Drosophila melanogaster: one gene and its partner. The protein of the gene in region 2 interacts with the protein of the main gene of each other region in a pairwise test. Each region holds a gene or a part of one and is shown on either strand. Other genes may lie near its edges.

Region 1 (4,880 bases), on a different chromosome or scaffold from region 2:
CGTCCAACGGGAAAATTCCATAAGTCATTGCGGACCCTTCTTTTCTCCTTTGCAAACCCAAATTTATGGATCTTCGCTTGGCCTATCCTATTTCTGGAAGATTTAAAAAGGCTTTTTTTATTATATCGTCTACATAGGGAGATTAACAAAACCATTACTTGAAATAAAATTAAAACTTAACTAACACTAAAAAAAATTGTGGGCCTCTAATAACTATACTGAGCGGGGCTCGGATAGAAATCCGGGTTAAGTTCCTGGCCATATGGCTTGGATGAAAAGTGATTTTGATTTACACTTTTAGTTGATTTGTATTAAAAATATGTCTCATCCCAAACTTTACGCAAAATGAGCTCATATAAACCAACCAAATCAAATATTGAAGTCAAAAGGTTTGGGATAGTTTAGAGATAGAGAGCTTGGTTAAAAAGAAGATTTACAGTTTACTGCTCACGAACGAATAAGTAAGCCGAATAAGATAAGGTGAATCTCTTTCATTAGTGGATTTTAATGACCAACCAATTTATTAACTGTCTGGCAGTTCAATATATAACCAAACGTATGCTCGAAATGTCCACATATGTATGCTCATTTTGCTTTTGTTTGTTTTCAAATTTAAAACCTAATCATTGCGTAAGTCTATTGAAGTGAAATAAACTAAATTTAAATGTTTTTATAAATATTTATGCAATGGAGCCAAGAAAGTCTTACTTTTAAATTACCTAATGTTTTCGAGTATCATATGTAGTAAATAATAAATGAAAATGATATCGAACGGAAGACGAACAAGTGTAGAATTATTACAGGAATTAGAACGGTTAGGTATAGAATGAAAAAATATCAATATTAATCAATAGATCAGTAATAAAATCAAATTATGTTTAAGTAGAAACACCAATTTAAACTACATGCTGATCCAAGAACTTCCGTACCCCAATTGGATAAAAGCGGCCAAATGCATAATTAATTTGGAATCGCGTGGACCATGGCAGGGTGAGCAACTATCACCCCCCAATGACATTGTGGGTTGTGCATTGAGAGAAACTCCCTATCTATCATTTTCCATAGCTATCATTTAAATTCACATAGATATGAATGAGCACCCAAATGCTGTAACCTCAAAAGAACACCACGACACTCGCTGACGAGATAGAGCCGGATTGAAATGCGTGCTTTCTTGATATCCCCTATCAACGTCCAAAGTATTACCACTATTGAAATATAGCTAGTCTCCGAATTAAATTCAGTATAAAACTGCGCTCCACCCATAACCTTTATTCAAGGCTATCTGCTGTTCCTTGTGTTACGATTTTGATAAAGCCGTACGTACTCACAAAAATATGCGACATGAAGAAATAGTTATTTTAGATGGGAACACTTAGCTAATCCTACCTATCCTGAGTCTAAAAAAAAATATCCGAAATACAATTTCACTAGAAAGGAGTAGAGAGTAGTTTGGATTACTGGAGGTCAGTCTTCTGGACCCAGGGAGATCATATTATTTTGCACCCAGCCGGGGCGATGATTCGGTAGACTACGCCTTCGAAGTTCTTCTTTGTATGGACTAAAAACAACAGAAGTCCGATGATTTAAGCATTGTTGGAGTTTAATTCAGCGGAGTCGGCATAGCACTATACCTTAACATATGTAATTAACACACACGATCTACAAGCAACAATTGGATAATTTATTGATTTAACCGTACATAAAGATTAATTAGAATGTTGATGTAGTAAATTAACATATTTCAAGTATTAAACTTCATAACATCTTGATGTGCACCTTTCGATGTTTTATTTTCCTTAAATAGTGGTGACGTTACTATTTCTCCCGTTTTTGTTTACTAAAAAATAAACAATGTACACATAGCATTAATAATTAAGTCAATGTAGATTTAATTTAAATCATAAATATTTAATTTTCAACTGCTTGTTTTTAAAAGAACATTGTCGGTTAAAAACGTGTTGGTATAAAATATTACTTTCTAGCCATAGCAATGCCAAGTCCTAATATTCCGCCAAGTACTAAAGCTGCTCCGCCTGCAACCACCATACCCTTTGCCACTTCCTTATCGATTTCTTTTTTAATATATTCCTGAAATATGTAAAGTTATTTAGTAATTATTCGTACATTGAATTTTAGTGTATGTACATTAGTGAGGATCACATGAATATGTTTTTCATTATTATATATGTACATTTAACACGACACATCTTTTGTGATCATGGGATTTTGGTTGTCATAAAAATTTTCTGGATCAAAAAATTATTTGAATCTATTGGAGATTATATAGAAATTGCTGCTTTCCTTAGTGACCTTACTAACCTCTAGGGAGCGAACTTGATCATTTGACTCGATGTCAAGAAAAGCTCGGCAGTATTTTAAGCCAGACGTATACTCCTTGATACGAGCATTACCAAACGCAAGATAATATATATAGTCACGCCTTCCATCTGGATGCGTACGAGCCAGTTCCTCCAAAATCATAATTCCCTGGATTATAAATAAAATAATATTTTTACATCTTTACAGCTTTAAAAGTGAGTCACCTTTCTAACGTCATTTGTGTACCGACTTCGGACCAGACAGAATGCGTACCTATTGTGTCATTAGAATTGAGAAGAATTGAGATATTTTAATGTTTTTAGATTTAGGAATGCGTACTCAAACTTTGTGTCTGTGGTAACTTCACCATCCAACTCAAGTTCGTGATGATACTTTTTTTCGAATCTCTGGAGCAAATGCAAAATATTTATTTTATAACAATCAGAACTAAAATAATATTTTTTACTTCTAAATCTTCTTGTGGTACAACTTCGTTTAAAAGATCCTCCATTGTTTGGCAAATGTTGTTAGCAAATACAAAAATTATATACAGAGAATTTAACGCCAAGAGTAGCCGTTCATTCTAAAAATATAGGATTAGTCGTACCGTTTATATACAATTCTCAGAGAACGACTTCCTTCACATTTTTAGTGTTCCTTCTTATATTCGATTGCCACTGAGACTATTTAATAAGGGGTACTCCGTTAATAGCATGTGTTCTTAATTAAGCCAAATAAAATTCAGCTTTGGAGTTTCAAAAATTTTAGCGAATTCACGGAAGTATTTGATTTTAACTACTTTAGTTTGATTTTATAAAATTTTTGATGTTATAATTATTAATTGTGATCAGAGAAAAATGCATTTACAAAAAAATGTTAACTTCTTTGGCTCCTCAATACCGACTCGGTTATTGATCCTCAATAAAGTGTTAGGAAAAGTTTTGTGTTACCTGTTTTATTCATTTAACGGGTATAACAACGAATTGTTGATTTCTTTTTAATTCATTTCAATTGAACCTGATCCAGACTTTTCAACGAATCTACTTTAACATTTTACTCTTCGAGTAATGTGTGTAATTTAGTATTCAAATTCCTGTATTTTGTGAATAGATAAGGTGTAAGTCCGTTTTTTATGTATCTCGGTTCCATCAATTCAGAGTTTCTTAAAAAAGTTTGTTTATAAAAATAGTTGTTATGAAATAATATTTATCATGTTCTCGATGTGCGCTTTATAAAATATGAAGATAAATGCAATGAAGACACTGCTGGTCGGAATCTCTTATTAATATACCCCTAAAAGAGTTTAGAATGAAAAGCTTTTTTGAAAATAAATACCCATCATTAACTTTAATGGCCACTGAATTTCGTATTTCCTACCTACCTTCAAAAGATCGCTCGATTTTAGAGCTGGCCTCCTATAATTTGACAGCAATTTTGCTAACGCATCAGTATAATTACGATGAGGATCCGGTTCATTCTTTATTTGTTGAACGATGGGGCTCGCGTACGTGACGGCATTTCTTCGCGGGACGGTGCGGGGAGGCAAGAGATGGGTTGTGCTAGTCCCACGAAGTTGAACAGGCAATGATATTGCAGAATTACTGTTCGAAAATCAATGAATATGCTAGCGGTTCAATATATAGCTGACGCATGCAAAGAGCAAAATACAATCGAGTGATACACAAAAACCCAAGCTGGCCACCAGCTTGGTCCTCACCAAGGGCCAGTATAAAGTATCTTAATTTACACCCAAGAAAGTGTCGCGCAATTGCTTCTCGGCAGTTTTTGTTGACATGTCCCATGACGTGAACACAATTTTTATTTCTATTGCTTTTGACTTTTATGCACATGCCCACTCATAATCCTAGAGACATTTGTCATTGATGGTCCGGTCCGGCGAATCTATTGTTGTTGATTGTTGAGCCCGGCTCTATTCACACTTTCTTTCGAACCGAGTCGGCCAGACTAGACCGTCGTATTATTGTGATTTACTTGAGCCGCTTTATCGCCGTAATCACAACAAAGTTGTGCGACAAATACAGATATGGGGACCAACAATAAGAGCGAGAGTTGCGGATGGCAGGCAGCTGCTTGGCTCCTAACCAACTTGAAAGTGACTAATCGGAGCTTAATGTCATTCCGGGACCCTGACCGGAAGACGACGGTTCGCCGTCGATTCGTTAAGGGCAACTAATTGTTGCGACGTGTTTACACACACGCTGTGTCAGCACGGGGTTGTTTTTGCAGCGGGTGCTACCAAGAGACTGCTACCAGGCGGTTGCCCCGTTCGCCATAAATGATCCTGTAATTTTCGTTGGGCGCGTGCTCGCGATTGTTCTTTATGTGGGCACCCAAGCAGCAGGAGCATGACCAGGACAAAGACCATTGTTGTTCACGTCGATTATTATCGCGGCAATTGGAAAAACTATTGCCGACTCATATATCCGTTTATTTATTATTACTTTTTCCCTTATCAGCCGAGCCTCGAGTAGCTGTCCATGGAGTAGTCGCAACGCCGCTTGAAGGGTGAAGCTTCACCCTCCGAATACCACAGCGTA
Region 2 (6,053 bases):
TCTTATACGTATTATCTTATTGTAGCCTTCATTTGCTCTATATCCGTCATGGGAGTCGTTCTGCTGGACCCCACAGATGATGCTGATTTCGATAAGATCATTTCGAACGAGCATTCAAACTTTACGAATTCCATCTACACCAATCCCAGATACCGCAGGCATATGAAAGTTGTCTTACCTTGGCTGCAGCATCGTGGTGCCTTGGAGTAAAATATCAAATGATCTCTTAAAATTAGTCTATTTGCAGATATCATTTTTACTTAGAAATAAATTAAACGATACAAAATATTGATGTTGAATATCGGATTGTAATTATAAGGTGATATGAGAAAAGGGCCACCCTAATTTTCAGAATGGAAAGGCGAAAGATTTTTTCCTGTCCATACGTTTGTTTTCCAAATAGAATAATAGAAAATTGTATGCTGGAAATGCGCCTGTTATCTTCCCAAATACATCATCTAAACACTTTAGAGTTACTTTGGATTAAGATATATTATATTGAGCCAATATCGCAGAAACTGCGATGTCACTATGATAATCTACTCTGTGGGGTGAGGGATTGTTTTAAAATTTCCGGACGCACCTTTCGAGCACAGTCACTTCTCACAAACTAAATTAATATAAAACAGTTGACTGATTGTTAGGTAAGAGGTAATGCTTATCGCTCACATGTAGATTTATTTCTCCCTAGAGTATTTAAGACATTCGCTGAGTGCTCTAAGCTTGCAGTAAGTGCGCTGAACTGAAACAGCTTATTACAAGATGCATCCCCAGACAAAGGATGAGGATGTTAGCCAAAAACAGGTCACCATTCCGGATTGGGTTAAGCCAACAGTCTTTGAGGAGCTGCTTAAAAGGATTGTCAAGGATTACAAAGCAACGAAATCCATGAGGGCAAATGCAGGAGTCGCTGCTGGCGAAAACTATGCCACCGTAATGCTTAGAATTGAACTGGATGTTGAGAAAGAAGGTTCGTTAAATTCATTCTATAGGACTAATGAATTAGGGTATCAGCGTATTTGAACTGAAATTATCTTTCAATTATTGTAAACCTTGCAGATAACACTCAAACAACCAAGGCATTTATGCTTAAAACTCCCCATCAGTCAGAGCAGTATCGTAAAGTAATCGAGAAGACAGATATCTTCGATGTGGAGCGAGGAATGTATGTGGAAGTAGTGCCCGAGCTGGAGCAACTGTATCGCGATGTGGGATTGGAGGTCAAATTTGGAGCTGAACTCTACGACATAGAGGCCAGCGACTACTACGTCCTGCTGGAGGATCTTCGGCCACGTGGATTCGGGAACATAGATCGCCTCGAAGGCATGGACCAGGCTCACACCGAATGTGTTCTCAAGAAATTTGCCCAATGGCATGCGGCCTCTGCCGTTCGCGTAGAAACAAAGGGTCCTTATCAGGAGAAGTACACAAAGGGTTTTTTAAGGAACGAGGAAATCGTAGATGCCTTTATTAATCGGAGCATAAAAGTTTTTCTGGATAACGTCCATCTGTGCAAGGGTTACGAAACTTATCTAAATGATCTGGTGGGTAATTTATCTTTTGATATTCGTATCTTCAAGTCTTCTATCTTATCATTAATTACAGCGCATTGTCTCCGGCAAGACATTCGAAATTGTGGAGAGCCTCAACAATCCGAGTCCTGATGAATTTATTGCGTTAAACCATGGCGATGGTTGGGCCAACAACATTATGTCCCAGTACAATACGAAAGGCGAGATACAGGATACCTACTTTGTCGATCTGCAAGTCCCTAAGTGGGGATCAGTGACCCAGGATCTATACTACTTTCTTTTGTCCTCTACAAGCTTGGACATAAAAACATCAAAGTTTGATTACTTCATATGGTTTTACCACTCCGAATTGGTAAAGCATCTGAAATTGCTTGGATATTCGAAAACTCTTCCCACTTTAAGAAGAATTAACGACGCTCTCAACAAATACAGTGGATGGTGTAAGTTTTCAATCGTTACTTAATCATTAGTTCAGATCTTATAAAAAAAAACATTTCAGCGTTCATCTGCACCGCAACTATATTGGCATATGTCCTCCTGGATCCCGTGGACGGAGCCGATTTTGATAAGGTTCTTGGTGATGACGACTGTAGCTTTAAGAACTCGCTATACATTAATCCCAGATTTCGCAAACATATGGAGGTTCTATTGCCATGGCTTCAGCATCGCGGAGCTATGGAATAGATACTTAGAATGCACAATATTAAATCGTATGGCGTATAACGAAAAAATTACACTCAAGGTTTATATATACAGTATAGTAGAAGTAGCATATTGTGTAATATCTAATAAAGACCTAACTAGTGTTTAACAAACATTGTGGTTAATAAAAAACTTGTTCCGGAGTTTACATATAGGTAAATATAACTATAAGTATAGTTATAAGCATTTTTTTTTATGGTCATACAATTATTTTTATTGTCTTTAAATACTTACACTTATATGACAGACAAGCTTCTATATGGGTATAAATGCATCCCCCCACGTTTGTTTTGGTCTATATGTATGTATCACTCGAGACTTTGAAAACAAGTTGTTTTGAGAACTCTCCATATCCAGCACTCTCTTTGTTTTCCGACAAGCTTTTGGAGCTTTCGTATTGGCATTTGTTTTGGTAGCAAACAAAGATACAGAGAAAAAAAGTTTTGCTCACATGTTTGTACGGGACCAGCCGGCAAATAAACTCTTAGTTTGCTTAGAATGACGGCTGAGACAGGAACAGCGCCTATGCCCACCTGGCTGAGAGCAAATCTATTCGAAGAATTGCTAAGTAAACGTTACGGCGGCAATTATGCCGGAATCAAAAGTTTCAAGCCGGAAGCCGGGCTCAAGCCGGGAGAAAACTACTCCACAATTATGCTGCGCCTCAAGCTTGAAGTCGAACTGCAGGGTGAGTGTGAGTCACAGGTGAACAATGGAAAGTCAAGCAGAAATTTCCATCATCAGATCACACAATCGAAAATGTGAGCTATATGCTGAAGACTCCCTATGATTTCGAGATGTATCGCGAGATTCTGAGGAAGAACAACATGTTTGCTGTGGAGAGGGATGTGTTCATTCAGGTGATTCCCGAGCTGGAACAGATGTACAAGGATGTGGGCGTGGAGGTCAAGTTTGGGGCCAAGGCTTATGAAATCGACGCGCCCGATGATTACGTACTTCTGCAGGATCTGGGTCCTTTGGGTTTCAGGAACGTCGATCGCCTGGAGGGCCTAGACATGGTTCACACCAAGTGTGTTCTAAAGAAGATGGCCCAGTGGCATGCGGTATCGGCCACCAGGATCCATCTCAAGGGTCCGTACCCCCAGAACTACTTGCAACCCACGTACGCCGATACCATGAAGGAGAGCATCGAACAGGTGGCTGAAACCTTGGGCAAGTATTTCCTCAAGTGCCTGCCACTCTACGAGGGTTACGAGGAGTACAGTGCGGCGGTTGTATGTTTCTTTAGCTATATGCACCAATTGGTTGCACGGTTCATCACAAAATAATCTATTTGTACAGCACAAGATGCAACCTAAAATCGTCGACCTTATGTATGCTATGAACACGCCCGATCCGCAGGACTTCAATGCTCTGAATCATGGAGATTGCTGGACCAGCAACATCATGTTTAAGTACGAGGACGAGTCGCCCGAACCGATCGAGACATATTTCGTGGATCTCCAACTGCCCAAGGTCACGAGCGTGGCATATGATCTGATCTATTTCCTCCTGGGCTCGACGAAATTCGAAATCCAATTGAGTCAGTTCGATTACTTCATCAAGTACTACCACGATCACCTGGTCGAGCACTTGAGAATGCTGAACTACCCCGAAGCAAAAACCCCCACGTTGGGGTTCCTCCATACTCAGCTATTGAAATATGGACGAGTTGGTAAGTGGAAACCTCGCTCTGCAAAGCTGTAGATAACCAAGTTCTGATTTCTTTTCCAATCGTAGGGTATCACATTGCTTTTATTCTCTGCCCACCAGTGCTGCTCGATCGGACTGAAGATGCAAATCTGACCGATTTCGTCACCGAGACGGATAATGGCGATGGTCTAAAGTTGGCTATGTACTCCAATGCCCGATATAAGAAGCACGTTAGCGCCATTCTCAAATGGTTGAACAATCGAGGGGCCTTCCAGTGCTAGTTCGCTATACATTATATATATATAAAGAATACTATTGCTAAAGTGATTCCTAACGTTCTCTGGGAAAGAAAATTTGTAATACCATGACATATAAAATGTACTGCTTTCAATAAAATACTAATGCACGAATTTTAAGAATAAAATATGCTTGTAACTGAGCAATGATTATTCAGTGAAGTATAGAAGTTTCTCATTAGACGGATGGTAAACATAATCTCATAAGCACACTTTTGTTTTTAAATGATGAGTATGTGAAAATATATTTAACTTCTAGCCGCTTTGTACTAGCCAGGCCTAATAATAAAACAAAACATAACTGCCCCATTAAAGCACAATCAAAGATAATCAAAATGCCGTTTGGTACCCATATAGACCAGCATTTTGTAGGATTAATAATATTCAAATAATTGTTTATTGAGTGCGTGGTGCTCGTGCGGAAACCGATGGTGAACTGTCTATCTACCCATCACATGTCACGCCCAAAAACACCAATTAATGAGGAATCACGAAATAATTAGAGCGAATGGCGAGCGCAAAGAGGAACTCGGGTGCCCGATCCCGATATGGAAGTCGAATCAGGAGCGGGAACAAGAAACTGTTTTCGTTATCAATCAAACAATTGACGGTGTTTGCGTCTCTATATCATATATCACACACCTCTCGCTCGGGCACGCTATCGCGCACCCACTCTCGCCAACGCCAATTGCCACTCTTTTGCCGGTTTTGGCGAACTGAATTACAAAAAAAAAAACTTCAATCGAATGCATGCGATAAGGAATTTCTTGGCCCATACCCAAATCGGGGCAATACCGCTGTTCCCGAGCACAACCACTCGTATTTCCCACTCGACAGTTGGCCGGATTGCAGTCGATCTATCAGTGCGCTCCGTTTACCAATTAAGGAAAAAGGTTTGCCACCGCTGTATGTGTTTTCGCATTGGGCCATTCACCGAATCTAGGGATCCGACCCGCCAGTTTTGACCAACCCCCAATAGTGCTATAAAAACATAGTTCAGATGGGACTAACATCTAGTATTCAAACTTTTCTTGTGGTGGAAAGAGCGACTAAGAGTGAAATTAGCTTATAAGCTAAGAAAGTGCATTGAAAATTGTTCAAAAATCAAAACTATCATTTCAGTTCGATTAGGTAGGATTCCCCGAATTGTGTTTCGTAATGTACTCCAAACTTATAACAAGTGTTTCATTCGGTGGCATGTGACCTGATTTACGATTTTTGCTCATTAATTTGCGATAATTCTGATAATTGCCTAATCAATAAAAGCCCCACCAAAGTTCGGTAATTACCCGTAATGGAATGACCACAAATCGTCAAATCACGTTTCTCCAACTATGTACTTCGATAAAGTTTTATCTTCACAATGATGCATTTCCCACGGAATTATTAGTATTACAAGTTTTCTAGTCTTATACACTTAAAAAAAATATAAAAATATCAGGTAGTGCAGCAACTCTTCTCAAGTATCGAAGAAAACACTTGAGAGTGGCATTAGCACTTCTAAGTATTAGCTTGAGTCATATGCTTACTGACTTTTCCAAGTGTGGAATAAAAGAAGTGCCACATATTGGGGTAATAATGACTTTTGCAGAGATAACTTCATGGGAAATCATTCAAAAGTTATTGCACTTAAGGTTATTTCATTTTTTTATTTTACTGTACCAATTAGTGTCCGTTATGATAATTTTCCGCCGACGCATTAGACTCAATTTCAAGATACTCAATTTGTCGGCACATTTGATATAATTCTCTAAAAATACACAAATCTTGAGACGTTCCTTATTGAATGGGCTGGGCCAAAAGCAGAACGGATTTTATTATTCAAATATTCCGCGCCTTTGGCAAAAACGGAAGAGTGGCGCCACCTATG

What was found. The genes of interacting proteins can lie anywhere in the genome.
Region 1: the proteins of CG10559 (region 2) and Fis1 interact in a two-hybrid assay, tested with the Drosophila melanogaster proteins (one large-scale study listed by BioGRID).

What each region holds. Positions count from the first base shown.
Region 1 is NT_033778.4:5,601,922-5,606,801, forward strand, and holds Fis1 (Fission, mitochondrial 1), read right to left. Parts: upstream 2,914-4,880; 5' UTR 2,834-2,913; coding exon 2,789-2,833; exon of another isoform or gene 2,730-2,788; coding exon 2,662-2,729; exon of another isoform or gene 2,596-2,661; coding exon 2,547-2,595; intron 2,491-2,546; coding exon 2,323-2,490; intron 2,092-2,322; coding exon 1,979-2,091; coding exon of another isoform or gene 1,975-1,978; exon of another isoform or gene 1,874-1,974; intron 1,841-1,873; coding exon 1,819-1,840; 3' UTR 1,666-1,818; downstream 1-1,665. UniProt on the Drosophila melanogaster protein: Involved in the fragmentation of the mitochondrial network and its perinuclear clustering. Functions downstream of Pink1 and upstream of Drp1 to regulate mitochondrial fission.
Region 2 is NT_033777.3:25,312,784-25,318,836, reverse strand, and holds CG10559 (uncharacterized protein), read left to right. Parts: upstream 1-2,720; 5' UTR 2,721-2,732; coding exon 2,733-2,922; intron 2,923-2,978; coding exon 2,979-3,469; intron 3,470-3,536; coding exon 3,537-3,909; intron 3,910-3,974; coding exon 3,975-4,168; 3' UTR 4,169-4,343; downstream 4,344-6,053. Other genes in the region: CG10560 (uncharacterized protein), read left to right, coding at 26-210; CG10553 (uncharacterized protein), read left to right, coding at 763-970, 1,060-1,544, 1,606-1,972, 2,032-2,216.